2 linked regions of the Neodiprion lecontei genome follow. The main gene of each other region encodes a partner of the protein of the gene in region 2 in a complex. Links are inferred from orthologs where the notes say so. Each region holds a gene or a part of one and is shown on either strand. Other genes may lie near its edges. The genes, in order: methylcrotonoyl-CoA carboxylase beta chain, mitochondrial; methylcrotonoyl-CoA carboxylase subunit alpha, mitochondrial.

Region 1 (15,485 bases), on a different chromosome or scaffold from region 2:
GCGGACCAAAGCATATTTTTGTAGGAAATTTGACGCTCTACAAAAAAAGTCCTTACAAAGTTTTCGATAGTCACACTCCTTCAAAAGTTATTCGAGGTCAAAGTTGAACTTACAAAAAAATTCAATGTTTTTTTTTTTCGATGATACTATGAATCTTTTCCCATTATTTTGTTATAAATATATATTTAATAAATATATCTTACTCTAATTGGGCTTTTTCAATCATTAATTTTCCCATCGAGTCAATATAAAGTTACCTTACAAAAATGCGATGTTAAATAATAAACATGTTATCATGGAGAATCCATAACTGATGCACTTGACTATTTAGAAATGTAATTGTTCCGAAATCTATCCTCTTTATAACAAAATAATGAGAAAAGATTCATAGTATCATCGAAAAAAAAAAAACATTGAATTTTTTTATAAGTTCAACTTTGACCTCGAATAACTTTTGGAGGAGTGTGACTATCGAAAACTTTGTAAGGACTTTTTTTGTAGAGCGTCAAATTTCCTACAAAAATATGCTTTGGTCCGCTAATTCCATGAGCCGTTGCAAAAATACGAAATTGCAAAATTTTAAAAAATTTATTCCTGTGTTATTTAAACGGGAAATAGAAATTCCCGATGCGCGACCTCTTAATAATAATATTAAGAGCTCTGCTTTTTACAGGCGTCTTTTCACACCTTCTCGGAAGTTTTTATGTGAGGATTTTGAAAAAAAAAAATTAGCCGTTTTTTTTGATTCAGCCTACCTTACACAGTTATTTTTTATAATGTTCAGGTCGGAGCCTGTATCCAACATGAAAGTACTCGGATTTTGTAATTCGCTCGCTTCTAATTTGATCGTAGGGAATATACTCTCTGGTTTTATGATCGTGTTGATTGATTTGTTATCGGAATTTTGAGGCGGACCTATAATTATTTGTTCCATATCGCTTGTAGCCAACGTCACTAGTTTTCTATCGGTACGCCCTGTATAATAGACAAGGTGCGGTTGGGTGTTTTGAGAGCCTCCGAGGTCGCACCGTCGTTCGGCAGGCTCTCCCCGTTTCCCGAAAATGAGACTCGATTTTCTCGCGGTATTTGATTTAATCTACCATTTCGCTGTTTAGTTGGATATTCATTGATTAAGTGACCGTAGTTTCTACAATATCGACAGTATTCGCGTGGTTTTTCTGTCTGGTATTCGTCAGGTCGGTTCGAATTGTAGGGCTGATAATTTGTTTGCGGAGTATAACGCGTTTGTCTAATTATTTGATTATCGTCGTACTGATTTGGACGCTGATTTCCCTGTCTGAAATTGGATTGTGACCTCTGCGGGCTAGGGTCCCTTGAATAAGTTCTTTCACGGTACGAGTTATTGTTGGGATAAACGTTTCCGTGGTATTGATAGTTCCCTTGATAGCGATTTTCGCGATATTGATTATTTCTAGGATAACCTTGTTGATTAGGGGAGTTCGACCTCCGATTACTGTAATTGTCTTGGTTACTAAAATTCGGAGGTCCCTGTTATCGATTGGGACGATTTTCTCTTGAATCGTAACCGGGTTGCGGTTGGTAATTTATTTGACGATTTTGATGTTTCGGAAATTGATTTCTCGAGTTAGTATTATTTTGCAGTTGGTAGGTGTTCGAGTTACGTCGAGGATCCGAATAAGCATCTCTTGAATTATAATTATTCCGATAGTCTGCTCGATTACCTTGGATAACATAAATTTGATTCCGAGGTTTACGGTGATCGTAATAGCTTTTATCTGAATTATATTAGCAATCGTATTTATCGTGGTCGTTTGCTCCACATACAACGCAATTATATGGTTGAAACATCGTATAATTTATCGTAGCGTCTTGAATTGTGCTAGGTTGATCTCCTCGTCTAAGTTGGATTTTAATTTTCTCCTGTTTTTCTATTTTCATCGCTGCGTCGACCAGTTCTTTTAGAGTACCGGGTACTGTGGGGATTTTTCCGTCGATTTCGGGTCTTAATCCGCGCAGAAAAGCGGCTTTGCCGTCCGCTTCGGTATTTCGCGTAAAAATTTCGAAATCATCTTTACGTTGCTCTTGCAAGAATGCCTATCTTGTATTTTCCATCGCTTCGCGTACCCTTGATGCGTACGTCGCGACGTCTTCATTCTGTCTTTGGAAAATTTTCCGTAGTTCACCCTGACACAGATTAACGGATTTGGCTGGTCCATAAAGCTCATTTATTCGCGCGGTTAATTCGTCTACGGTATCGAACCGTTCGTTCTCGATCACACGTGGAGCTACTCCCTTGATTTTATTACGTATTATTCGCGCGAGGCTTAATTCGACTTGAGGCGGAACCATTTCGCGTGCATCCTTGCATCCCTGCACAAAACTTCTAACCTGGGACGGATTGCCGTCAAACACCGTGACTGCCTCTAAGGCATCCTTAATTGAGATATAATGATAAGTCGGTGCGGGTGAGGCGGTTGCGCCTGTACTTGCAACGGGTTCGCTTACCATTTTAAATTCCTGAGGAATCTTGATATGTGTTTGGGATTGGTTTTCCGAATCAGGCGTTTGAATAAGTATTTGAGTGGGTTTTTCTGTTTTTCTCGAGTTCTTCGGAGAATTTTTATTCGTTGGATTAGAATTTTCGTTGGAGATTCGTGACTGTTCGGGAGTTAGACTTGAGTTTCCCGACGCGTTCGTCTCCTCTAAATTTTCTAATTGTCCTTCAAATAATTGGGTGCCCTGCGTACTAACTTGTGATCTGAGTCGTCGGTCTGAAGGCGGAGTATGTACTACGGCTGGGCGTTTTTTATCGATAGGAGGGTCTTCCTTTCCCATTTAATGTTGGGATTGCACAACCGGATTTATTTGCTTATAACTGGGTTGGAACTGGGGATTAATTGTTCGGGATTCGTATAATAGCGACAATTCCGGGGACTGCTGAGATGGGAGAGAGACAGGACAGGTTTGATAGCGGGGAGCTTGAGAGTAATAAAAAAAAATATTTTTGACTCGTTTTTATGGATATGGATAACGAGTTGGGGTGCTGTGATGTTCTGAAAAATTCTCCTTATTTTATGGGTTCCCCGATCAATAACCGATGCGTATGTGATGACTGAGTTTGAATTTTTGTTAATAAGGTTTATTTTAACTTTTAGATTCCGTGTCGGAGGAAAAGGAGGTAGAAATCGTTGGAAGTTTGAACGGGAGGTATTCAGAAATAATTTTTGCCTTTTTCCTAATCTTTGCGTCTTCTTCGCTAATCGTTCTGGGTCGCGTTGGGGGCTCGAACAGCTTATTTCTTTCTTCTATTCGTTCTTCTGTATCTCCCGTGTAATAGCAAATATCTTCAGAAGTTCCGATGGTATGGTTAGAATTCTGCGGTTTATTGAGATAAGGCTCCTTTACAGAGTCCGGGATTTCGTGCGGATCGTTTAATATAATCGGCTGAGTATATTGTTCCCAAAGCTTCACTACGGTTTCGCGTTTTCCTCCGTTTATTTCGTTCGATTTTGGGAGCATTCGTTATGAGAACAAAGGGTATTCGTCAGGGGTTTCGATTAAAGGTTGGAATCTTGGTTCGACAGAGTATTTCGATAAAAACGAGGGATCTCAGTGATACAAGATCCCAGTAGGTGCGATATTGAAGAAATATTTGAATGGAAAATTTCCAGAGCGGATGGAAAAATTCTTGACTGACTCATTGATTTTTAGAATTTTGGCGAGTTAACGGGTATTAAAATTTAGGTTTGTTGAGTTATTTTATTAAATCGAGCGAGATTAGGATGATTTTCAGTTCGTGTCGGTAGTGCGCAAAAATTTCCGCCGTCCGTCGATCGCTACTCGCGTCACAAAAGTTTTTTCGCGATTATAACGTTTGGTTTCGCGGCCGATGCACCAAAAAATTTTATATGTGACGTCGGAACGGTACCTGGTGGAAATTTCCAGATATTAGACACCGGAATCATTCACACAGCTACAGTCAGACTCACATCAGTAGTTTGGGTCACCAATTACCGATAAAGTATTGAAATACACCGGACAACGGGCATTCTGTCGCTCTAATCTAACGAACCGAGGAAGGAGTAATTATTGGATAAAAGATTTAATTAATTGGCTTACCTCTTGAGAATACTCTGGATATGATGACTTGTAGCGTAGATTGGTGAGAGCATTTAACGGAATAACTGATTCTAATATATTCGGATACTTTGATTAACTTGGATTTATTTTATAAGTTCAATATTTCAAGTCACAAAAACGGAGTTACTTAGTGTAAGATCTTAAATTAATATGACAAAATGGAGCTGAAAGCTAGCTGGACTTTTGGGCAGAGTAACGTTGTATGAAAAGTTTAAATGCAAAAGGCAAAAGGATTTCAGAATAGAATAGAATAGAATAGAACGAATTTTATTACACTAGGGTAGCGAACCCAACAGTATAAATTAATAGCCCAATAACAAAGAAATACAAAATTTTAAACTTAAAAAATAAACTTAAATCTAATGTACTTAAAAATTAACTTAAATCTAATGTATAAGCGAGTAAGTTAAGTAAGTAAGTAAAAAAAAAGAAAACTGAGAAAGGAAATAAAAGAAAAGAACAGAAAAGAACGGAAAAGAAAAAAGAAAAGAAAGCTAATGAGCTTGAATGATATGCTCAAAAACCAGAGCCTTAAAGGTTCCGATTGACGTTGCGTCACGTATAGCGGGAGGGAGAGAATTCCAGAATCTAGTGGCCGAGACCAACGTAGATTTCTGGTATGCCGAAGTCCTGCATGACGGTACGGCGAGGTCGGAGGGGGGTGCTCGGGACGGCTGAGCCCGCGTGGATTCGACGGAGCGTAGTTTCAATTGGGCCGCGAAGCATGGAGGAACACCCAACTTCAGGGCGCGGAACACAAAAAGACCGAGGAAATAGTGCCGGCGTTGGGGGACCTTAAGCCATTTAAGTTGCTCATAGTAGGGCGTAATATGTTCGCATTTGCGCACGTTAAAAACGAAGCGAACGCAGGCATTAAGAGCTCGTTGTAGGCGGATATCTTCATCAACCGTAATGTCCAACAGGAGGAGTGAGCAATAGTCAAATATTGGAAAAATCAGCGCCGATACGAGAAGCCGTCTTAGACTATAAGTGAGTGCCTGACCATTATTAGCCTTCAGTTGGTACAGCGTTTTATATACGCGGTTTAAAATGCTTGTGACTTGATCTCGCCAGTTGAGAGATGGCGTGATTGTAATGCCTAAGTTTTCAATGACATCGACAAACGGGATGTGAGAACCCTGCACATTTATTTCTGGAAGCTGGGCTGGTCGCAGCGTGTTAATAATTCGAGCCGAACCTAAGAGCATCGCTTGCGTTTTGGCCGGATTCAAGCGCAAAAGGTTTTGATCTGCCCAGCCACAGATTCGAGCAATATCCTCATTAATACGAGCGACGCATTCGTCAATTCGACCGGGAGAGCAATGAGCAAATATTTGCAGATCGTCTGCATATTTAACGATCGAGCAGTGCTTAACGACATTGTTGACATCGGTTGCATATAGGGAGAATAGCACAATTTTACCGCGAGACTGTACCGGAACAAGATGACGAATCTGGTCGTAGAAACCAAGTGGACGATCGGATGATCGGTCGCCGTTTTTATAGGGGTCGATCGTTGCGCAGAACGATCCCCTTCTTTAGATTTTGTCACCTTTTGCGCACCTCCCTCTTTTTCTAGGAATTCTAATCAGGACACGACATCTTCGCCGCATGCACGCCTGTGATCTTAGTTCATTAGCTATTACTATATTGCAAGTTTTGACATATGGTATAACGCTGCACCGGTGCGGTGGTGTAGATGCGGGGTCGTTGTTCTGTAATTTTCCATTCTGCGTGGACTTTGTTGTTGGGGCGCAAGCCCCCCTTGGCCCCTCGGCTACTGTGCTTCTTCCCGCCGTCTCGTGCTTTCGGCAGCTATTTCCTAATATGGTAATCGCAGTGCGGATGCGCTAGTGGTGACTCATGTTTTATGTTAGTGCCGTGTGAATTTCCGGGCTCACGATGCGCTTAATTCTAGTTCCTGTTTACTTCCTAATATTCTTACTATCCTGTTCGTTACAAAGTCTATATGTCATATTGGTTACTCGTCGTTTGTTAGTTTTATAGCGTGTATCTATATGAAATTACATATGTATTATAATTGATTACTGTCGTTATTCACCTGGATTATAATAGCGATTGTTTATGAGACATAGTTGCTGTTTGCTTAACATTATTAGAATCGCGCTGCTGCGAATATTCTTAGGTGTTTGTGTTATAATTATCTTAACAAATTTAGGGTATTTAACAATTTGATAATCCATAGTTTTAGAGCAGGTTTACATGTGTGCTTTCGTATATAATTCTCTTCTGTAATTATTAATTCTTATATTGATATAAATCGGCTTGGAAGCTTCTAGAACGTTTTTCTTATGTTTGTTGGTTGCCTGTCATTGGGCGTTGCCACGTATGCATCTTTGAGTTTATTGCGAGTTGATTTACCTTCAATCGTTTCGTCGGTAAGTTTCCTAATGTGTTCTCTAGATGAAGCTCTGTATGGCTCCACATTGGAGATCTGCATTGCCTTCAAAACGTTGCGCGTGTTGCCTACAATACGGCGTTACGGAGGAAGGTACAGTTCATGCTGGATAATTAGTATTCACGGTTTTGAAGGTTTTGCAGTCTCTGGTTTTATGGATTATTGCAGCAGTGCTATCTTTACATTATATTGGTTATACATTTATCTATGGTTTTACAATCTTCCGTACTCCAGGTTATATGGTATAGCGTAAGTCGCTTATAGTATAGCTCTCAGCTCCGAATGCACAAATGGCATTGTCGAGTGCTATATAATAATTGGATATAATCGTGTTAGTTAATTATGGTGTTAATATGATAGTGATATGTAATAACGTATAATAATATTATAGCTCTTTGTAGTGCGAAGATCTCGTAACATGGTTTTTGAGCTTTGGTTAGTGAATGTCATAGTTATTTCCATCTAGGGATATTCCAAATAGTTGGACAGTTGTTTTAATTCCTTATGGTTACAAGATTCTCGTACTTCGAGTTTGGTTAGTTGATAAAAGTAACATGCAGTAATAATAGTCGATAAAACATACGGACGTTCCGGTCGGATGTTACAATAGCAAGAAAACTAAAAAACAGATGAAAAACAACGAAACGAATCTCTCTAGAACAGCGGTCGTGTCTCTAATCCACAGTGGAGAAACACGGAACTAATTTTGAGGAATTCAAACGAACGTCACCTACCATCCGGGAATTGCAACATACAAGTGAACCGCGTCATTTGACTGATAATGATAAGAATGCGTAAAAAGAAACGACGAGCGACGAATATCAGTGTGTGGCGGACATTTGGTCGAGTAACGTAAGTCATTGCGCTAAGAAAAAACAAATGTTCCGTAAAAATAGCTGTATCGTCACGCGCTTGAGATTTTTGTCAAGAAAATATCACAATGAGGCGTCGATTATTGGCAGCGAACAAGACACCAGTTCCCCGGTGTATCAGGTCAGTGATTGAACATCAGCGTTCGTTCGGTATCGTAAATTATATATGTTTACCCGGCATTATGCATAACGTGACTGTTATCTACCAAGCTTTCGCAACTCACCTCTGATTTGAATATCTTATTTGTACTGTTCGAATTTAAGTCCAACGTTCTGAACTCTTCGTACAAGAGAGTTTTAATTTATTATTTAGTTAATATTATCAAAAACCGGTTGTCACTTTTTCAAACTTCATAAGGATTATCATTGACATATGTAACCGATTCTTAACAAATTGGATCTCAAATAATGAAATAAATCCTTGAACGTTGTCTACAACTAGGTGGCATTTAACGCCAATTTCAAAATTACAGGAAAACTACAGCCAGATGAAAATCCTTGTTGATCAGCTGCGGGCCACTGTAGAAAAAGTAGTTCAAGGCGGAGGCGAAAAGGCAAGATCCCGTCATGTTAAGCTTGGGAAATTGTTGCCGAGGGAAAGGATCGACACTCTCCTCGATAAGGATTCCGCATTTCTAGAACTATCCCAGCTGGCCGGTTATCAAATGTATGGAAAAGACGAAGTCCCAGCGGGTGGACTTATCACAGGAATTGGAAAAATAGAAGGGTAAACTCATACTCCTTTCTTAGCTTGCGTAAAACTGCTTCGAGATTGTCTCAAGCTTTGCAATAATTTAAATTTTTCAATTTACAATACCAATTAATCTACTAGATTTAAATTTTTTAATTTTGTTACTCATAAGTTACACCTTTCCATCTTGGAGAATTCACACACCTGAATGAAAATAATTGAATATGTACAAAATTTGGAAAATTCTATCGTGGTCTTGTTGCAGACGAAACTGTGTTATAATTGCGAATGATGCGACGGTCAAGGGTGGTTCATACTATCCGATAACTGTGAAGAAGCATTTGCGTGCCCAGGAAATAGCACAAGACAACGAGTTGCCATGTATCTACTTGGTGGACAGTGGAGGGGCGAACTTGCCGCATCAGGCGGAGGTATTTCCAGACAGGGATCACTTTGGTAGATTCTTTTACAACCAAGCTAACATGAGCGCTCGTGGTATAGCTCAAATCGCAGTTGTAATGGGAAGCTGCACTGCCGGCGGAGCCTACATCCCTGCCATGTCCGATGAGAATATAATCAGCAAAAATGGCACTATTTTCTTGGCAGGACCTCCACTCGTCAAAGCCTCAACTGGGGAAGACGTTACCGCAGAAAATCTGGGAGGAGCAGATCTGCACTGTCGGTATGATTGAGAAAGGTTTTGTAACATAGGCGTAATTCTTCTTGTAAAACATTGATGAGATCTACATCGAAATGAACGTGTCTTTGTATGATGGAAAAACTATTTGTCGCTTGTCATAGAATTAAATACCGTACTGCATGTTATTAATATAGCTTGACAATTGTTTTCAGAACTTCTGGGGTTACTGACCACTATGCAATTGACGATCCTCACGCTTTGTACTTGGCTCGACGCATGGTGAAGAATTTGAATCGTCAAAAATGTTCAACTATCCCGATTGAGAAGGATACTTCCGCACCTCTTTACCCAGCTGAGGAAATCTATGGTATCGTTGGAGCTAATTTGAAGCGACCTTACGACGTTAGGGAAGTTATAGCGCGGATAGTTGATGGCTCAGAGTTTGACGAATTCAAGGAACAGTATGGAGAAACTTTGGTCACCGGGTTTGCCAGACTGCATGGCTGCCCAATAGGAATTGTTGCTAACAATGGTATACTGTTCTCTGAAAGCGCACTTAAAGGTGCTCATTTTGTGCAGCTGTGCGCGCAGAGAAAGATACCCCTGATATTTCTCCAGAATATTACTGGTACGTGTTCAGAGTACCTATGTTTATTCAATTTTAATTCAAAAGGTTCACTTTTTTGCTTTTGTTATATCGCATTGCGTAGGTTTTATGGTCGGAAAAGACGCCGAATCCGGCGGCATAGCCAAAAACGGTGCGAAAATGGTAACTGCAGTGGCATGTGCTCAAGTTCCCAAGATCACCTTGATCATAGGAGGATCGTACGGTGCTGGAAATTATGGTAAGCTGTTCTTTTTCGTTTGTGGATAAATCTAAAACTAAAGAATCTAAAACTAAAAAGAAAACTGTAATTTTAGGTATGTGCGGTCGGGCTTTTGCTCCAAGGTTTATGTATTCCTGGCCTAATGCTAGGATATCTGTAATGGGCGGAGAACAGGCAGCTGGAGTTTTGGTTCAAATTACAAAAAATCAGCGAGTTCGAGAGGGAAAGCAAGTTAGTGTATAATTTGGTTCACAAGTTTGTTTTCAATTTTTCTTGGTCTTGTGTTTCTAAAGGACATCACATTTACATTGGCTTTTTTTCAGTGGACCCAAGAGGAGGAAGACAAGTTAAAGAATCCGATAATTGAACAGTTTGAGGCTGAAGGCAATCCCTACTATTCCAGCGCCAGGTTAATTTTCAATTAGTTTCTCTAAGAATGAGACCAAAATTGTTCGAGCTTACTGAACTTTAGTCAATGTAATTAACTCCATGTTTATTTCTAATTAGACTCTGGGATGACGGAGTGATTGATCCAGTTGATACTCGCGCGGTACTGGCATTGAGTTTGGCAGCAGCATTAAATACGCCGATTTTAGACAGCACCTTCGGCGTTTTCCGAATGTAAATCGACGCGGAACGATGTACTTACTGTCAATTATTTTAATTGTGAAAAGTTTTTTTATACGTTTATAACATGTATGGATCTATAGCCTTCGACAGGAATCATGTAACATAGACATATTTTTCCAAAGAATCGGCAGTTGGGGTAAGGAAATAAGAGATACGTATATTTACAAGAGTAAATGCTTTTATGTATGTATGAAAATAAAATAAAGAAATGGCATGAATTCTACGAATTTACTACAGTGAAACTTCATAATAGCGGACAACTTCGGGGCTGAAAATTTTGTCAGTTATTGAGGAGTATCCGTTATTCAGAACAACATCAACGTTTAAATTGTGTTACTGGAAATTTTTAGCCTATCCGTTGTAAAGAGGAATTCATTATTGGGAGGTGTCCGTTAAGAGAAGTTTCACTATATTGCCATTTCGTAAAATCTATACCATTTCTTTATTCCTGCATCGAATGAAAACATACTTGAGTGCCTTTGTTTAAAGTTGCGTATACAATGGGGCTGTTAAGTCCTTTGTCGCTTTTGAGGTACATGGAATTTGATATTTAGAGATTTATACGTTAACTTCGAAATTGACAAAGGCCCCCCCTTAAACAGGGTATTTTGTGTGGGCATAACCTGCAACCTTTCTCCCCTATTAAAAGAGGAGTTCCTTTTATTTCTTATCAATTTAAATTCTTTCAATCAAGGACCTAGACTATTCACACTGAGGTTGCAAGAACTATCGGCTCTCGCAAAACCACAGATGTAACACTATATGTATATGATCTAGTATTTTTCATGTAATAATCATGTAATAAATTATTTGCTGAATTATTTCATAATTCTTTCAATAGGGTTGGTCACTGGGCAATCCTGAGCAAGGTACTTCCAGTTTGAACATCCGCTCAGTTATGTGTTCAATTAATATTCAGTGACTCATTTAAATATTGAAGAAAAAACAATTATAAATTACATTTATTCATTATTTATAATACGTTTAATTTCATCTCAACATTAGTCAAACATGTGTATTTTATTTTTATGTCTTTCAAAAAGCAAGGGTAGGAAAAAACTATTCAATTATCTAATTTTTTAATATGCTTTTCCGCACTCTTCTGTTTGAAAAGTCTGACTGAAATTTTCCGCATTTCGAATAATTTTGTTGATAATACCTGAAATACCGATACGCGCGGCAGTCAATCAATTAGTAATTATTATCGCGTCAAGATAGCGCTCGTGTAAAGTTTGAATCAATTTTTGGCGGGATAAGCTATTAATATGAGTTTAGCCGACAAACCATCGATATAATATAATTAATGAACTTCGTTTACAGTTCGTCTCTAGATAATTGTAGTGCAGTTACAATTGCTTGAGAGTGAACCAATTTAAAAAAAAATAAAAAAAATAGTAAAAAATTCTACATGAATTTATTGAAAATATTGAACGTTATACATATCGGTTAGATATATGTAGAGTTTTTAATTATTTTCTTTAAAAAAATTAGTTCACTATCAAACAATTCTAACTGGACTACAATCATCTAAAGACGAACTGCAAACGATTTCATTAATTATATTATATTATATTGATGGCTTGTCAGCTAAACTCATGTTAATAAATAAGCTACCCTTCCGGGAAAAACAATTGGTGAGCGATCGTTCCGCCATTTTGGCGATTTGATGCCAATGGTCGAATCCCAATCTTGTGCGGTACGGAAGTAATCGTGTGTTTGTGTGTGTTGTGAGTTTGTCGGTTCCAAATAGCGGAAAGTTAGCAGATCAGAAATGGAAGTGTATTTAATTACGTGGGGTAATTCTCATAACGTGATCGTTGAAACGTGCGAGTCGCCCAGCCTGTCGATTCGGTCTTCGCCAAGTGGGTTCACTTGTAACCAAAATTTAAGTTACAATCGGTCTCGAACGTTCTCTGAGTCCAGTTTTATCTGAAATATTTAGGTAGCATTTCCTGTAGCATCCGATCATGCAAGACCGTGTTCGGCAGCACTTTACGGCAGAATTGGGTACGACGCATGCTGCCGCAACCTGGGCAGAAATGCACGGGCTGGCTCCCAAATATACTTCGACTTCTGACAAACAGATGGCGATTCAAAGGTTCTTCCTTGTAACTTTGTCGTGAGTGCACAAGCTATAATGTGATTCGTATTATTGCGTACAGAGGGACTCTAATTAAAACTAGCATCTGATATCAGAATTTAGTGGTTTTCGCTACATCATTTTTCACTTCTTCACAGATAGTGGATTCCGTGGGACCTGAGTCTCGAGCTGGAGTGTCTCGTCAGGTATTTCTCGTTCGACCCTCTACTATTCGCAGATAATCGATTCTGCTCTCCTCTGGGTTCATTAATGTGTTTTTATTTTAAATTAATTAAGTTCCTATGACTGCGGAAATGGATAGATAGCGTAAATAGACATAATTAAGTCCGTGGACACAATAAGGTTGAATTTCAAAATGGCCGCCGGTAGAAACAGAAATAGAGGCATAGACTTGCAGAGATAGACTCCACGGTCTGTGCACCGAGCTGAAGCCGTAATTAGAAAGAGAGGGCAACAGCTGGAGTCGGATCTCTCACTCTAATCGGTGACTTGGCGGGGGAAACACGTAGACTATTATAAGTACACCTCCCCGCTTGCCTTATTGCTTTCCCCGCCTGGCGGCTGCTCCCCACTCTTTCAATCGTGCAACAGAAAGGTCCGGTTTCAGCTGTGCTCCCTCTTTCTAATTAAGGCTTCAGCTTGATTCACAGACCGCGCAGTCTGTTTCTGTAATATAAGTTCATGTTCACTACGCATCGGTCACTTCGTCTACTACGTTGGTAATATTTTTACAAAGTTGATTACGCCTATAAACAAATAAGGCGAGTTGGAATCGTTGAGCAGGTCATTTATAGAACTCTCGGTATATACGAATACATCTTACTGTTGATTTTTATTGAAGCAACTTGTTATTTTTTACATCTGATATGTAATAATTATATAGACGTATCACTAATCGATGATACGTACTAAATGATATTATTATTGTATATAGTACGTTGGTTAGCTCCGTGTTCATATAGTTTCACGGCGTAATATTATGTAGCTTCAACTCTTCGTCGTTCTACGACTAGCTGTTTGGCTATTCCTTCAAAATTCTCCGTTTGCAAAAGCCAGTTTTATCCCTTTTATAGTTTTTATTGTTATTATTATTAATATTGTCATTTCAGACATGTCATTTCCCATATACCTAGCTATCTATAACTATACGAGTAGTTACATTACACAGTTTAATTTTCATTTTCATTATTATTCGATTCTAATTTTTTCTTATCATTACGTATATAATACCCTTAGGAAACAATCAATTGGCAGTTACATAACGGAGAAATTATATATATATATTATATTGTCGTCGTTGTATTTCATACAACAACAATATATCGGATAATTATTTCTTTTTTTTTTTTTTTATAAGAATAATAATTATTATTCTTACTTCTCCATGATCGCGCATTTCATAAGTCATTCATTTTGTTTTTTCAATTATTTGTCTTTCTAAATTTGGGCATACCCTGTACAACAATAATTATCGAATAAATATTTTTTTTATTCGACATAATAAATATTCGGTATCGCGATTTGTATAAACTTATACAGGTATACACTCAAAACGATCGTTGTTAATATACCGCTATTTATTCGTTGCGCTTCGTTTCTGTATTGTGTTGCGTTACCTACATATTATTAATGCGCGTTTATTAACTTATACACATACCGTCGTTTATACAATCAGAGACGACGGACTTTTACTATCCTGATATTTTAAAGAAATTACTTTCAATTACGTATTACAGTTTGTGAATTTAACACATCAATATTATCGATTCTTATTGGGAAAATAATGATAACAATGCACGATCCTACCTCGTTATTATCATCATCATTATTATTATTATTATTATTATCAATATTATTATTATCATTGTCATTATTATTATTATTATCATTGTCATTATTATTATTATTATTTCACTTTCTCTCTGGCCTATTGTTAGTAGCAGTTGTTTAGCTGCACGAGGATTTCATTAATGAGCTTTAATAGGTTCGGTATTGTAAGTATTCAATTGTTATTATTTATACGTATCGTTATTATGTAAAACGAAATTATTAATTAATTAAATATATATTTATATTGTATATAAGTATAATAATATATTAGTATCACATGAAATTGTCCCACGGTTGACGATGAAATATTTTGTTTCTATCTTTCGTTAATTACATATCGTTTAACTTTCCTTTTTTCTCTACTACGCTATTAATTCCGAAATTTTAGAAACATCCGCTATTCGATTTTTGAAAACGTACCGTATGCGTAATTTAATAATCTCTCAATGTAAAAATCGATCTAGTCCAAGTGCATATGAATAAATGCATACCGATTTAGAAGAAAAAAAAATTTGTCTTCAAAATTCATTTATCTTGCATCGAGAAAGCGTGGGACAAATCAAATTTTGATTCCAAGAAAGACTCGCGCGCGGTTTCATTCTTTCGTTTCCTTCGTAAAAAAATATAATGTTCAATAATAAAGAGTGTATAAAAACGTCTGTACGCAGAGTATAAGATGGAAATAAAAAAATCGTAAAATATATAGGATGCATTAAATTGCAGTGCGCGCTGTAATGAAAAAAAAAAAGTTTCCATGACGCGTCGGTAATTGTTATTACTGTTATTATTATTATTATTATTGTTATTATTATTTGAACGCGCAGGAAATTTGCAATTAGTAGAACTTGATTAAAAAAAGATAAGAATATTAAATACCGTAAACAGATAAATTCTACGCGTACGGCAGAATATCGTTATGATTCGGGATTTTCTTTTTTACTTTTTCAATTAGAATGTTCAATTTGTTCTGTCTAATTTCCGCTTAAATTTTTTCCTCTTACGCTTCACGTGAAACATTTTATCGTTTCGGGGATCTTCTCCTTATATTTATCGTTTATGACAGCTACTCCCGCGAATTGATCAGATTAATGTATAGAATACGACGAGTAAAATACTAGCTAATTTCAAATATCCCGTCGCGGTAATTGAGAAAGCGGCGTTCACCGTCGCCACAGTCTCCATTTCCACAACCTTGTATTTATACTGTTCGCGAATCTCGTTTTTTGGATGTACAGCTGCAGCCGATTCCGCCGATCCGGGCCTTTCCGCTGTTTCTTCGGAGGCGGTAACGTTGTTACCTTTCAAAACAAACGCCAGCAATGCTGTAAGAGAAACAAAAATTACGGCACGATT
Region 2 (15,476 bases):
ACAACCATGCCTAGCGATACCTGCTTTAACAGCAACCAAAAATATTGCAAACATACTCCGCCGTTTACATGTGTTGTTATTTCATTATTTGATAGATATCAAAGACAATTGAGAAAAGTCTCAGAGGTAGAATATCGTTGCATCGTATAGCTAGATGTGTATCTGGCAGTCGTGCCGTATCTACCCTTCCTCTCCCCCCTGCCGCTAACGTGCAACCGTGCATTTTACTTACCCTGCACACACATGAATGCAAGTACGGCCTTAATTCTCAACTGTCTCATGCACATGTGTGGGCACGGATATCGATATCGTGGGTTGAGAATAACCTATGACGGATATGTACGTGAATACAGCAGTGACAGTGGGGGCGGGTAAATGCATCGGTGTGAAATAATAATGACCGTACTTACGTGATAGATATTTGCTAATGTATGTACTGCGCGAGCAGGCGAAGCAAAGCGACGAATGATTAATGATCGTCCAACGAGTGGACTGGTAACGGATGTCAAGAGGAAGCGGCAGAGGACGAATTAAGATCGGTATAATCATGTGCGCATTTCGGTGTGTGTATGAGAATAAAGGCATACATCACGACGACAATAAAATTAAGAGGACAGATAAAAACGATGAGAACTTACTTCCTCCAGCGATGTGATGGTCTGCCTGCACTGAGGCATACGCGAGACGAAGGTGGAGGTGGTCGGGGAGTTGTAGTCCTCCTTGGTCTCCTCGACGAACTCGCCGACCGCAATGAGCCCTGGCATATTTGGCGCGTGCGATGTCGTCGTCGCGACGCTTTACCAGGCCGGCGGCACCGAAACGGACACTCTTCGCGTCTGCGATTAGGAAAAATCCGAAAACACAGCCAACTACGTTGACTCCACGACAGGTCGCGAAAGTCGAGAAACTGTCAGATCGTCACACGCACTGCTCACTTCACATACACTCACTGACGTCTCTGTATCGCGAATCGGGCGGACAACTTAACCCCTGAATCTGATCGGGGCCGTTCATTTTCTTTCCTCAGCTGCGCGTCGTTCGGCAATGATTGCGCTTTCTATAGCCGCTCCCGTCTAAGGGCGAGCATGACACTTCGACTCACTTGCGAATCACCACCGACTCTACCGCGGACGCATCTTTTTTAGCCAGGGCTCTATACATGCGCTGTCTGGGCAGCCCTGGACCTTATAGCGAGCGACAGCAACGATGCACGTACCTTGGGTTTATTGTTACTGATTCCTCCTCTCTTCGCTGCCGCAGTGCCGCCTACCACCTCCAATCGGCGGCCATAACTGCCGCACTACTTTTACCCTACCCAGTGTTCCTTGCGCGAATTACTGTACCCAATCTTTTTCTAGATTGCCCTGCCACCTACGGTGTTTCACGCGCGCAAATCCGACTCGGCCGGCAACAAGATTTCTACCTCTATCCCAAACTATGCCCGTATCGATGTGTCAGTTGACCATGCCGGTACTGCAGAATGCATGCACTGTTGAATTTTTCTGGCGCGCCAACTTCCACAAGATTGGCTCTGTTTATTGTAAATGGCATGTGGTCGGCCTGAAAAAATGGGATTCAAAGGAAAATAGGGGGATATTAGTCATCAAAAAATATGTCACAAATTGAGCCATTGATCTAATGTATCGATTTGTTTAATCTACATGTTAAGTTTTCAATCAAAATGTCTTTATTAAAAGTTATGTAGATTGGCGAGATTGTATTTACAGCTCACATACTCAGAATTGAAATTTTTTACTTCCTACTAAATAAGTCAAGTTTGTAATGAACAAAAGATATTATAAACAACTCCGAGAAGGAATAATTATTACCTGGAAAATAAAAATGTTGAATGATGTGACTAGACTCAATACCATAAACATTTGCGCAGGTGTATCATGCATGCATGTGTAGCATGCAGATCTTTAAACGCATAGAGGGTAGACAGCGAATGATGGAATGTTTTTGACACATAGACAGCGTGCGTTTGCAGTCATAGTCTTCGATAGTTGTCTCGTTGTTGACCCCGATTTTCCGAGAAGATGGTTGAATAGAGAAATGGTACGACGGAAGCCAGCGCCAGACACAAGCCGACAATGGGTCTGTACCATACCCAGGCAAAACCAATGACCAATAAACTGATGGACATGGAGACAGATATGTTTACAGATTCAATAGCAATCACGCCGCATAAAAATGTTGAATTCAAGACGAGCGTGCGTATTATGTTTGCCAAACATGTAGCAGCGAGAAACAGCACTAGCCAACCCAGACCTCTGCAAGTGATGAAATCATGACTCAGTAAGTCGTAATTATCGTACCAGAGCGTTTATCATTTTCAGACAAATTTGCCAGTCCAACCTTATAGCCCAGGTGCGCCAATAGTTGTGCACATGTTCTAGGTGAAACATCTGATCCACGGATATCACGTCCTTTCTTTGTATTAAGATTTCTTCGCCATGCGAGGTCGTATAGGGAACGATAGTTCCATCTACCTGCATGCCGATAATTGAATAGATGTCATCGCCCTTGCCAGCGTACGAAAATTGTATTCTGATATCTCCGACCTGATTGATGATAATTAGAAAGGATTAGTAGAAGTAGAAATAATGCAAGAGCTGTAATAACGGAAAGCAGTGATTTCAAACCTGAGGATTCCATAAGTCATTACTGTGATAGTAGAGGCCAGAGTGCAATTTGATGTCTCTACGCTCCGGCCTCTCATCGCTAGTAATCTCAACAAAGTGATTGAATTTCTTTTTTAACTCTTCACCAAGAGTCAAGGCTCCAATCTTAACCTCATTGGCAATTTGTATCTGACTCCGCACAGGCATGATTTTGGGATTATGGTGACCAGTTCTGATATCGAATGAATCTGAATCCACAAGCTTGTCCTTCCATTCTGTCGTATAATAGTAGTGCTTTTCATCTTCGGTAACACCTCCAAAACTGCACAGGGTGAAATCGGACACAATGGAAATGAATCAGTTTATTTCTAACTGGGTGATAGAAGTTGTAGATTGTAGTAAAGTAAAAATTTCAAACCGTGAGAAAACAGTATGAAACGAAACAGATGAAGTACAATTCAAGATTTACCTCACCTACGTTCCTCTTCAATTTCGATCCATTGATACATCTGTACCCTTCTCTTCAGCTTTACGCTGGCCATAACGATTCCATAATCAGGTTCAGTGAGCGGTTCAAGCACTCTCAGTGGCCCCGAAAAATGAACAAGTCTGTGCTGATGCTCAGGTAGCACATGGTTCACACTGGACAGCGGCACAATGTTACGCAGCGCCTCATTCAGCGAATGTGCTGTTCTAACCGCACGGCCCTAAGGACAAGCAGCAAGGAGTAAACAGGGAATTGCATGTTCTCTGAAAGCAGACTGTTCCTATAACAAGCTAGGCCAATGGGGATTTCATAATTGCAAAGGTCTTTGGTACAGCCGTCGAACAATGTGTCAGTCAAAGTCTAGTGCAATACCTCGTTCCAAAATAGCAGGCACATCCCAGCTGCGAATAGAACTGACCCAATAATGGCGGTCAGCCAAGATTCCTTGAACTGTTCGGCAACGGTCATCGGTGTGTGAGTGGGTCCAGCTTGTTTGAAACCGGCCGATCTATCGCGGTATGCGTTATCAACATTGCCTCTACGAGGCTGCCCATTCTGAAACGAAGTCCAAACAATGTGAAAATTAGGATTACGTTAGGTTAAGTTAGGTTAAATTCTACAGAGAATAAACAAGGTTGAGGCCGGTCGGATGACACGCGAACTTACGTTTGTCCGATACATCCCACCTGTGACAACAATCACCATAAACTACGCCTGACTCGGCGTTTGTATTCACGTACAACAACACGGTGTTCATGTAATCTGGGACATCAACTTAAAAAAACATTCTCCAACAGGCGACTGCCGGATACTCTGGGTAAACCCATCTATACATGGAGGTAGCATCCCCATTTTCGCATGCGTGACCGTGTAAAGGAAATACCGGTATATTGTCTCTCTCGCTCTGCGCCGTGATTGGCTTAGCGTGCTTTCTCAACCAATCACGGACGCAGGGCGACAGAGGTAGAGTTACTGGACCCTGATTTTGACTTGTTTTTCACTTGACGGAAAATTCTCATGAGTGAAATACACGGTTGTACGTGAAATATAAATCAGACTCAGGCCCCATATTGCCCTTACCGTATAAGCTCGATGAGTAAACATAAAACGACGAGGGAACGACTGATGCCGCCACAAATCCTCAATTTCCTTAACAATTTCTGCAATTTTAGCACAAAGCGGAAAGAAAATGAAATGAAAATAGAAAAGCGAGGTTAAGACTTACAATTCGGAAATACAAATGACAATGTCACTGAACTGGCCTGAACTGCGGTCGCCTCGTCACGAAACCTTTCACAGTCACGATAGTTGATAAATGTTCATGTACTCGGAGGCGGAGATTTTTATTGCTCTGGAATTCTCTGATAACTTCTTCTAAGTCTTAGGGGTTAGAAATGGTAAGAATACAATCGAGCGGCGAAAAACTGACGCTTAATTTACAGCATATGTTAGGACGCTTGTCCCAATTTCGGCATCGCTAATCCGTTTACTCGAATGTTTTTCAAACAGTCACCTCCATTGTGCCGAGGCTGTGCCAAACAATTAGCTGTTGAGAACGCGGGATTCGATGTATTCGCTGAAGAGGCATCGTCAAGTCTCAGGGGAAACAACATCAGGACTGGCATCGAGCTAATCACTGGGATGGCTGTGAGTAATTGCTATAACACTGAGGCAACGATTCACCAGAGTGCTTTAATAGAAACGTGTGAAAAATATGAAGAACTAATCAGTACCTATGGTTAACTTTTTGGGGTCAGAAAATCGACATGCTAGCACCAAAAGTCTGCATGAAACTTTTTCCAATAACTGTATGGTTGGCCTTCAATTTTTGATTCTAAAATGGGCTGACGATCGATCACAGGTTTCACATACTGACGGACTCCCCAGAAGATTGTGCACAGAATGCAATGACAAGCTGGAAGCGTTCATGGCCTTTCGAACACAGCTGTTAACGTCTCTCAGACTCTTTCTAAGCTCTAGAGATAGTCGAGCTCCTACCGGAACCGAACATCCGTTGGAAATATCATTACCCCCGTTACCTGTGCCAATACTCAATCAAGAAGGAATCGGACTATCTCATGTTAGGGAGAATACATATGTAACGTTAGAGTCAAATAGTTTTGTTAGGTATAGCAGTAGTCAGACAGAGCATTATGTGAAAGTGAAGAGAGCAAATGTGGCCGAACGGGACGACGAATCCGAGATTGATGTGTGCTCAGGGGATGACGATGAAGTTCTCGAACTAGATTTTCAGAGCAAAAAGGATGAAATCTATGAGATTGATAGTTCTGAGGAGTCGGACATACAAGTCTGTGACTACGAACCAAACAGGTTATGAGCTTGTCTTATCACCAAGCTGTAAATGTTGCTCAAGAGAAAAAGCTTCAGGATTTTCTTTGGTATATCACAACAAACTAAAATAATTAAAAGTAAGCTTTCATTAAGCAGAAGAATTCGATGATAAGAATTAACTCTTAAAACGATTCACAGTCACTCTATACGTCCCTGAACGATGTGGCTGCATAAGTTAAAAACAGCTTACGGAATACATGGCTTTGTTGACGCAACTCATTATCTTATCTCAATATTCATGACGACGCTATTACGAGACCGTTTGTACGTGTCAGCAAAAAAGAAATGGTTTGATAAGAAATCGTCTTGATTGAGTGGTTGGTAAAAATTGCGTCCACCTTACACCGAAAATTGACCAAGGAAAAACGCATTTTTTAATACGAGAATTTACAGCTATCACCAAGTCATGTACACCCTGTTGCTGCGGTCGGTCTGGCCTGTTCATAAAACGTAAGGAGTACCCGTTTGTCGATAAGATAAGATCAAATATATTCGTCTACACATGCATGTGTCTTGATCGTGCTATATTTACAGGCCCTGGCATATAACCTCGTGGATCGATCGGGAATTTTCATTATCGACCGTACACAATGGAAAAAGGCTTGGGAAGGTATATGCACACAATATCTATACGTATAATATGTACAATGCATAATTTAGATATCAAATTTTAGCAAATCTCTGATGAAATTATAAAACGCAGCTAATTCTGAGCGATTTTATTTCCCGCGCGCAGATCCTCATCGCAAATCGCGGCGAAATCGCTTGCCGAATTGCAAGAACCGCTCGTAAACTTGGGGTAAAAACGGTGGCGGTATACAGCGACGCGGACCAGGAGGCCATGCACGTCCGTTTGGCTGACGAGGCCTACAACATTGGACCCGCGGCTTCGACCGAAAGTTACCTGAAGCAGGATAGTATAATTGAGGCTGCCAAGAAGTCCAAGTCCCAGGCGATACACCCCGGCTATGGATTTTTATCGGAGAATACTGAATTCGCCGAGCTCTGTCAGAGCGAGGGGATCACCTTCATCGGGCCCCCGGCGAGCGCGATCAGGGACATGGGGATAAAGAACACCTCCAAGGCCATTATGGCCGCGGCCGGCGTACCTGTAGTTCCAGGTCCGTAACTCCGCTACCTGCGGCGGTCCTATTTTCGTCATAAGAAAAAAAAATATTCTCTCTACGCAGGTTATCACGGAGAGGATCAATCCAACGACAGATTGATGGCAGAGGCAAGACTTGTCGGTTTTCCACTGATGATTAAGGCGGTGCGAGGAGGTGGAGGCAAAGGAATGCGCATAGCTTTTGAAGAAGGAGATTTTTTCACGGCATTGGAGGCGGCTCGAACCGAATCGGCAAAATCGTTCGGCGACTCGGCCGTGTTGTTAGAGAAATATGTTTCCGAACCCCGGCACGTCGAAGTTCAGGTATTCGCTGATCAGCACGGAAACGCTGTCCACCTGTTCGAAAGAGACTGTTCGGTTCAAAGGAGACATCAAAAAATCATTGAGGAGGCCCCCGCGGTTTGTTAATGCTACATGTATAATGTATATTTATACATTACCACGTGATCCTGATAATCAACGTTATTTTCTGCAATTTTTCAAAACTTACAGCCGGGAATTTCGCCCGAGTTGCGGTCGGAGCTAGGTGCAGCCGCCGTCCGGGCGGCAAAGGCCGTTAAATACGTGGGAGCCGGGACAGTGGAATTTATTCTCGATCGTTACACTCACAGTTTTCATTTCATGGAGATGAACACGCGGCTCCAGGTTGAGCATCCCGTTACCGAAGCAATTACCGGCACTGACCTCGTCGAGTGGCAGCTCACAGTGGCTGCCGGAGAGAAGTTGCCGCTTACTCAGGAAGAGATAAAGTTGGCGGGACACGCTTTCGAGGCGAGAATATACGCCGAGGTTGGTTTTCATCGTTGTATTTCGCAATACCTCGCGAATGACTAGTGAATCCTGCGTTACAGGATCCGAATAACGGGTTTCTACCTGGTGCCGGTCCCCTGTTACATCTAACGACCCCGGAGATGTCGGCTGACGTCCGAGTCGAGACGGGGGTGCGGCAGGGTGATCAGGTTTCCGTGCACTACGATCCGATGATAGCGAAACTGGTCGTTTGGGGGAAGGACAGGAGCGAGGCGATCGGGAAACTCGGAGCGAAACTCGCGGAATACAATGTGAGTAATGTTTGTCCGCGCCTAAGCGGGGGAAAAACGTTTAAAAATACATTGCGATGTTTATTGTAGATCGTCGGCGTGGAAACAAACGTGCAATTCATCATGGACCTCGCTAGCCATCCGAAATTTGCCAGCGGTGATGTTCACACCGGCTTTATAGAGGAGAACCACGCAACTCTTTTTCCGAAAATCGAAATCACCAACGAGATACTGACCCAAGGAGCATTAGCCATGATCCTAGAAGAGAGTTTGCCCTCCTTGAACGATGCTAGCTTTACCCCGTTCGCAACAAACGTCGGCCTCAGACTGAACCACGCGCTTGAGCGTAAATTTCAATTTCTCTTCAAAGATAAGGAATTTGTGGTTAACGCAAGGTACCTTCGACCAGGTGTGTTTAACATGAGAACGAATGATACGGGCCCCTGGAGAAACGTGAGCGGTTCGTTGATAAGAAGGAACAATGTTCTCGAATTATTATCGGAAATCGACGGCGTAATAACCCGCGCTAGGATCGTTAATAACAATGGAGAGCTTTATTTATTTACGAACGTACGTAATATTCTATATTTAATTTTCAGTATTGTTCCCTACATCTACAGTGAAGCCCCATTGGCAAAAGATGAAAATGAACACGTGAATTTTGTTTCAAAGGAGCGCAAGTGGCAGCTGACGATACCGCCGCCGAAGTTCGTCACCGCTGTATCGTCGATCAGCGGTCAGCAGCGAGCGGTTGGTTCTGCGATGAGCCCAATGCCCGGTGTCGTCGACAAGATTTTCGTTCAGCGAGGTGATATTGTTAAAAAGGGCGATCCTCTCCTGGTGATCGTTGCCATGAAAATGGAGGTGAGTATGCCACGATTTGCTTTTCTTTCTCTTCGAGAGCTCTTGAAACTTTATAACACGCATTATTTTTTTTCGCCTCAGCACGCGATCAAGGCCGCCTGCGACGGACTTGTCGAGGAGGTCCTTTGCACTGCTGGCGAGAATGTTGCCAAGAATAAACTTCTCGTTAGGATGAAGGAGGAGGAATCAGTCTAGCTTCTGTTGCCGTACAGGGCGGAAAGTTTAATGATACTTGATACGATTGGAATCGTCGAATCTTCCTTTTTTAACTAATTTTTAATTTTTTATAATACCCATAAGGCCAGTTCTCTGGATTTGTTAATGGTTGTTTACAATGCTAGATATTTTTAACGAATAAATGTACATAATACTCCTCATACGCAAAGAATCGATTGTATGTCCGTAGCTATATACGACGGAACCTGTCTAGTTCATATCTCCCCTTCTCCTTATATATCTTGGTCGTATGCCGAAAAACTGTAAAAGTTATTTGCGGGGGTAATCAATCTCGGGGCGACTTCGTGGCACGTAATTAACGATCGCTCAACGTAATCGATCATTTCTTTAGCGGGTTAAGGTGGACTGGCGGGTCCGTGTGTTCGATGCATCATAGTATCACACGCATCTATTTACACTAGACTTACGTTAGTTTTTGCCGGTGTACATACGCACGTATGTACATACATCAACGTGTCGTGTAGTGCACACAGAGACCATTCCCGACTATTGTATTTCGCACCTGGCACTAGTTCCCTCTCTATTACCGGGATGTATTAACGAACACGGTTGTATACAGAGTACAGGCATGAACCCGATAGCGTGCCGCGAAATACCACGAAATAGATCTCCAGCGGCGCGAAACCCCCGGCACGTTCTCTCGCAAACTTAGAACAACTTTCTTCCTCGGCCAATGAGAGTATATGACTGTAGGATAGGTGTAAGGTATACCAAAAGTTTCAGGGGCAGTTCAGCCGGGCGAGCGTGCCATGAAATCCAAAGAGAATTTCGAAAGCGGCGGTTAAGGAGTTTAATAATAACGTTCGCAGAAAATATGCGAAACGCGAAACAAATTCTCATCAACGTGTTCACTCAACATCGCCATTCTCATAAATATCTTTCGCGATATACGGTTCGGTGGAATAAGGCTAGATATACCTATCGATCAGAGTTGCAACGCGGATTGATTGTGAGCCTGAAAACTTATTGGAATCGACTGATGGAACGAAGGGTCGACGCTTCTTCGTTCCCACCTATTCACACACCCACACACTGACAACAGGGTGTCGAGGTGTGCGAGGAGAGGCGGGTTGAAAATTTCGGAGTGTTTAGGGTAGGTGGTAACAATTACCGCCTTACACTACCCCCATCCGAGGAGCACAACCAGCGTAGCGGCTGCCTGTCAGTCAACAATTCTGCGCCCTGCTCGTCGGTGCGGACGACCTGCACGTCCCGAGTAACGGAGCCCCTGAAACTTCGTTATTGTCTTGCGGGACGGAGGGAAAAACGCTGAGGTGAAAATTCCACTGACTCTGCAGTCACCGCAGCAGGTTCAATTCTTAATCAAAAGTCACACCGACCATTTATTACACGTACTACGTTCACCGATACACGTCTACTTACAATAATAACCCGTATCCGGTAGGATGTAGCATTATATACATAAACATACGTATATTCAGTGATTCGCGTGATAGTTTGACTCATGCATATAACTTTATCTATTTGTAATTTCGCAACTTTTCGGGATTAAATCGTGTGTATGTCGGTGTATGTTATACCTGACGGAATGGGGTCGGTTGTACAAGGAAGAGGAAGACACTTTAAATTGCGGGGAGTTTATTTCAACAACTTTAGGAATTAGTCTTCTTTTTGCCGATTTCACTCATTAAATCGAATATCACGTACACAAGTGTAACTTCGTAGTCACCTTCTCTCTATAGACAATGTATCGAACAATTATAGCCATTGGACCCGAACATACCTACACAATACCTGGGCAATTTTTATAGTTACATGTCCTGTCGAACAGGCATGAGTGGAGATCGACAGACGACGAGTCAACGAGTACAGCGTATCGAAAGCCGGGGAATCCCCGAAAGAATCGCAGCGGTGCGTCTTATGCAGCAACGAGACGTCAACACGGAGAAGCCAACTTACCTCAGAGACAGAGGTAGGTGCAAATCGCGAATGCTATACCGTGAATACGGCCCTTTCTTGCAACAAAATATAATTTGCAATTGAGCAGGTGTACGTATGATAATTTAAACAGCACGTGCCGTCAGTGGGAGGTGATAAACAATGCCGTCTGGTGTTTATGACGCTTGGCTGCGCGACAAGCGACTGTGTCGTCTCCCTAGGGAATAACCGATTATTCCTGTAATAAAGAATGGAAAATAATTCGAGCGTGAGAATATGTTATAAACCGTTTTGCTATCTTGTCACTAATTTCTGGTTGTTAGGTATAAATTGGTTGCCTCTGCAGTACGAGCTGCGCGGTAATTCTGAGTAGATAAATCGCCGTGTTTCAGCTTACGTGAAATTCAGCAGAGATCGCTTATGTCGTATAAAAAAGTGTTTAAAAGGCCTTGGCGAGCTATAGGCAATGCTATTTGCACGAACGTATGAGGTGCGCTGCGATATGATCCAAAAATAGCTTGTACCCGGCGATGGGTCTTCGCGATAAGATCCTTTACCGTCGAATTTTCGAACAATCTCATCGAGCGCAGGCGGTAAGTTCCAACGAACAGTTCTACATGCATTACCGCATCGTTCGATCAGATTCTGATTTATGACCGTCGGCTAACACGCTACGGGACTCGCGAGGATCGACTTTAATCCCATATGCAACAGTGGATCGGTCAACCGATTAGGGTATTTTAGGTATGAAGCTATCGCAGCGCGCGAAAGTTTTGCTGAAATTCGAACGCGAGAGGGAATGTTTTGCACGTTGAAGAAACTCCCGTTGCACGTGCCTATGGCTATATAATTGGTTACAACAGTGTATCGCATAACGATGGTTCGGGAAGATGTTAGTGGGTCATGTCGGAAAACCCTGGCGAACTGACATTGCGAGAAACCAACTTTGTCTGCAGATATATGAGCAGGAGTAGGGGGAGGGAAACGGAGCCAAGACATCGGTGTGCAGGCGCATCGGATACCGCGGAATTTTTGACGTCTCGCGATGATGTTCGGTTGGTATAAAACCACGACCATCCTCCACTCCGATTACAATCGCGGCGGTATCTCTAATCCGGCCGGAACGATTCTTACGGAGTGAAGCAAATACGCGCTCGGATTTTTTTCACGATTATTCAGGCATGCGGCCTGCACCTACGAATATCCTGCAGGTACACATTCACCTCGTTTGCTAGTATTGGAAACATGCTGCTATTCACCCGCACCGCGAGGTGCGCCGAGCTGATGTCCGAGCCCGACGAGCTACAGCTAGCAGGTCTGGGTTTTATCGCCAGTTTTTAATTACTCGGTTTCACTAGCTGCTTCACGAGCCTTCTTTTCCTCATTTTCAGAGCGGGTGTTGTATCCGAGAAGCACCAAGACCCTGGCTAAGGTGCCGGTGATCGGAGGAACCCCGATAAGCGAGGAGACGTGCACGGTGGGTATGATGTACAACGTAACACCGAACACCTACCCAACTAACGTATAGCAGATTATTCTCGGGTTTTTCTGCAATGCAGGCATTACGGCAGTTGGTTTTCGGCTCCTGCGCCAGTCCGCCAAGGAGCGAATGGACTAGGACAGGTTTGACCCTGAGGCCAGGGGGGCAAAGTCTTGCCTTCGGTTTGAGGGCGGCGAGGAACTCGACTCGGAGTTTGGTCACAGCGGTACAGGCAGTGATGCTGAAGCACTTTCTCTTCAGGACTAACAAGATTGTCACCAGTTTCGCGAGACCAGCATCCCCGGAAGCGTGAGCGCAGTATAACAACAGTATTAATGATTGCCCGGGAATGAATCCGATATAATAGCATAGAAATTTGGCTTCTGTTGCAGTCTACTGAAGCCGAACCACGAGCGGCAAGTCGAAGTCCTGAGCTTGTCGATCGCTGAAGTTATATGGAGGTGTGGAGGCGGCGACGCCAAGCCCAGCAACGCCGCGACTGCTGTCAATCTCGCTTCTACAGGCGGCGCGTCCTCCGGCGTCTTTGTGCCCAAGGCCGTTGTTGTTCTGCCACAGGAGACGCCCTACGTTCAGCATAGCGTGCAATACTTTCAGGACGGGATTACCGAAACGGTATGGTGTTTACGCGTACAGTAGTCGGATTTTTTTATCTTCTCGAATTTTCGAACTCGAATACAAAAGAATAAGAAAAAAAAAAACCTACAGCACGGTGATCTCGAGTAATGGCGACTAACGAATCTTATTTTCTGTTAATAATATATGGTGAAAATCGGTACAGCTACATCTCTACGAATTCCATTCTCTTGAAGACCTCCAGATATTTGTCAAGAGGTACCTTTACCTGGTAAGTCGTTCGTAATTCCCTTTGCGAAACACTCGAGAGGAGTACCCGTATTATATTTTGGTGTCGATTTAGTTTCACGACGAAGGTGGACCCGGAGCGATAATTCTCCTCTACAGCGCCGTGCTGTCTCGAGGACTTGCCAAGTGAGGATACGTATACACGTAGTCGCATGCGTGTTCCTGTACACAAATTACACGTATCGTCTAGAGTGCGCGTTATGCAAAATTAATATATACTATAATGAGAATATGACAAGACCCTAAGGAGATACGTGTAATATAAAGAAATCTAACGAAAGGAAAGCGACCGACCCTCTGAATGACGAAATTCTCGTAGAGTGCGGACCGACTTCGAAGACCAAAGAACCTCGATGCTCGGCGGGTCGCCGGAAGAGGGACCGATGAGCGTCGCGACGCTGCTGTTAACCGGAAGGTGTTCGCCGCACCTCCACAACGGGGTGCTTTACGTCGGTGACGAGAACACCTACGTGAGGAGGAGCCCTTTGATATTGACAAATAACGTAAAACCAGGTTCGTCGCAGCGTGTCTCACACACCTTCGTCCTCTGTCAAGGCCGTGCCGAGATGGGGCGTCCTGGCGAGGAGCGAGGTCGGTATCCTGGTGCACGAGGGTGACGGTGCAGACGCCGACAAGCAGCCCGGTTCCCGACTCAAGACTCCGAGCCTGCCGATCTGGCTGACCCTTTGCCAGGGCCACTACGGCGTACTTTTCAACATGAACCGTGAACTTCTCAGAAATTACCACGCCGAGCGGAGGTGAGATACGATCTGCAGCGCAAGGGGGAAAGTCGTGAGACCAACGCGTTAATCCCGGATCTATCCCCGTTCTAGGTTCGAGATTCAATATTACACATGCGGTGGAAGCCACGCCACCCTGACGGTCGACACGAGAGCCAGCGAAGACTCGTCAGCGGACAACGCTGCCAGGGACGATCAACTGGTCGACGTCGCCTCGACTCCCTTGGAGAAGCTGATTCACACCAAGTTTGTATAATGAGATGCTATATCTACGTCTTAAATTTATATCTTTCATGCAGATATCTTATCTCATTAAGACGTAGGTATATCTTAATTTCGATCTTCTCCGCAGGTGGCAAGACGCACAGATTCAATGGAACGGCAGCCCGGTTTTATAGATATTATAATTGCGTAGACGCAGCGACAAAAGACAGATACGTATCGTCTTGAATATAATATATGTAGTATACCTATGCATGCACGCATATAAACGGTAACGATGTTTCTTTAAATGTAAATTTCATTGTACTAAACCATGTTCTAGTTGTAAATTAGCAATTACTGTGTTAAATGATGTAAATATATATGTATGGTTTATTTTGGTAAATGCTGTACGTAATGAAAATTCTGTGAACAACAGAACTTCGGCAAATCGATCCTACGCCTATGACATGGCTTTGTTATGTATAATTTAATAGTTTACTATACATTCGATTTGTAAGCAGAAATGAATCTAGGTGCCAGGTGTCTACGTAAATCTACGTATGCATATATCCTAGGTAACGTTAGAGGCATGTAACCCATGCGCATCAAATGGAGAAACTTGAGAGAGACGAAATAGACAATTGAGCTACATCCTGAATTAAATTTCAACTTGAAATAATAAAGAGAATATAGAATTTCTAAAATTCCGGGCTTGAAGCAATTTTTAAAAACGCCTCACCCGTATTTATCTCATACTTTACTTTACGCGTCGTCTTACGTGTCGCGTCTAATAATTATTTCATCATTCGTTATTCGATCGACGCGATGATTGTACAAACGGTATATATATTTAGGTATAGATATATCTGTGCGCAAACACCGAATGGGTTCATCCATCCTCTCGCCCTAGAAACGTTCGTCGTCACGCTATCTTTGCACTCGCATGTAGGCAGAGGGTGAATTCGCGCATAGTTTTCTTTTACTCGACTCTATAATATGTTATACACCCCAACAACACACTTCCCACAAATCTAAGGTATTCAGGAGTCGAGACAATGACTCGGTAAATAATGATAATTGGAAGGATCGCACGTACGGAACAAAGCTTACTTTAATAAGAATAGAAGATAAGAAGTAAAGGAAAACGAAAGAAAGCCACTTTTGCGAAGAGGTGAAATTCTCAAACGATATACGTATGTAAGAGGTTACAGCTGAAATACTCTGGTGCACACCGCTCGTTCACTTTCTTTTCCGGGATCAAACTCTTACACACTTGTTCCAAAATAATACCAACCTATAAGCGTATACCGCGGAAGGTGTTTCCTGCGGAAAGAGAGTGACGATAATTTATCTGAAGTCGGGATGAAAGCATCATGTACACACGTTTAATCAATTAGGAACTAGACCGTTGAACAACTGCAGCGTTGTCCCAGTTTTGATGCAACTATTTTTAATCGTCACCGGTGTGAATTAAACATAAACGCCCAGGTATAGCTCTGACGATGGTAGACGCGAACAGGTGAATTTAACACTAAACTGGA

What was found.
Region 1: the proteins of methylcrotonoyl-CoA carboxylase subunit alpha, mitochondrial (region 2) and methylcrotonoyl-CoA carboxylase beta chain, mitochondrial are in contact, whole or in part, in a cryo-EM structure (PDB 8JXM), measured with the Homo sapiens proteins. The link is inferred for Neodiprion lecontei from reciprocal best matches to the Homo sapiens genes MCCC1 and MCCC2. Residues at the interface, in NP_064551.3 of Homo sapiens: Glu519, Phe526, His531, Asp532, Phe534, Ser535, Pro536, Phe537, Ser538, Ser539, Ser540, Ser541, Gly542, Arg543, Arg544, Leu545, Asn546, Ile547, Tyr549, Thr550, Arg551, Tyr568, Tyr636, Leu637, Ser641, Glu644; in NP_071415.1 of Homo sapiens: Leu56, His57, Val60, Glu61, Lys64, Asp88, Ile91, Pro93, Gly94, Ser95, Pro96, Phe97, Leu98, Glu99, Gln102, Ile123, Gly124, Arg125, Gly128, Glu130, Arg234, Trp276, Leu278, His281, His282, His285, Lys298, Lys299, Leu300, Ile304.

What each region holds. Positions count from the first base shown.
Region 1 is NC_060263.1:16,139,383-16,154,867, forward strand, and holds methylcrotonoyl-CoA carboxylase beta chain, mitochondrial, read left to right. Parts: upstream 1-7,254; 5' UTR 7,255-7,420; coding exon 7,421-7,534; intron 7,535-7,886; coding exon 7,887-8,140; intron 8,141-8,369; coding exon 8,370-8,786; intron 8,787-8,956; coding exon 8,957-9,372; intron 9,373-9,454; coding exon 9,455-9,589; intron 9,590-9,665; coding exon 9,666-9,802; intron 9,803-9,894; coding exon 9,895-9,980; intron 9,981-10,078; coding exon 10,079-10,196; 3' UTR 10,197-11,022; downstream 11,023-15,485. Other genes in the region: uncharacterized protein LOC107224007, read right to left, coding at 15,213-15,454. UniProt on the Homo sapiens protein: Carboxyltransferase subunit of the 3-methylcrotonyl-CoA carboxylase, an enzyme that catalyzes the conversion of 3-methylcrotonyl-CoA to 3-methylglutaconyl-CoA, a critical step for leucine and isovaleric acid catabolism.
Region 2 is NC_060264.1:23,299,416-23,314,891, forward strand, and holds methylcrotonoyl-CoA carboxylase subunit alpha, mitochondrial, read left to right. Parts: upstream 1-5,374; 5' UTR 5,375-5,510; exon of another isoform or gene 5,511-5,548; intron 5,549-5,601; 5' UTR 5,602-5,869; coding exon 5,870-5,913; intron 5,914-5,997; coding exon 5,998-6,073; intron 6,074-6,199; coding exon 6,200-6,584; intron 6,585-6,653; coding exon 6,654-6,988; intron 6,989-7,081; coding exon 7,082-7,378; intron 7,379-7,440; coding exon 7,441-7,650; intron 7,651-7,719; coding exon 7,720-8,199; intron 8,200-8,301; coding exon 8,302-8,493; intron 8,494-8,574; coding exon 8,575-8,688; 3' UTR 8,689-8,881; downstream 8,882-15,476. Other genes in the region: arfGAP with SH3 domain, ANK repeat and PH domain-containing protein, read right to left, coding at 639-764; transmembrane protein 43 homolog, read right to left, coding at 1,991-2,273, 2,359-2,564, 2,646-2,946, 3,099-3,331, 3,484-3,666, 4,625-4,699; inactive ubiquitin carboxyl-terminal hydrolase MINDY-4B, read left to right, coding at 10,507-10,663, 12,021-12,106, 12,189-12,418, 12,502-12,742, 12,909-12,974, 13,047-13,117, 13,311-13,461, 13,547-13,749 and 2 more.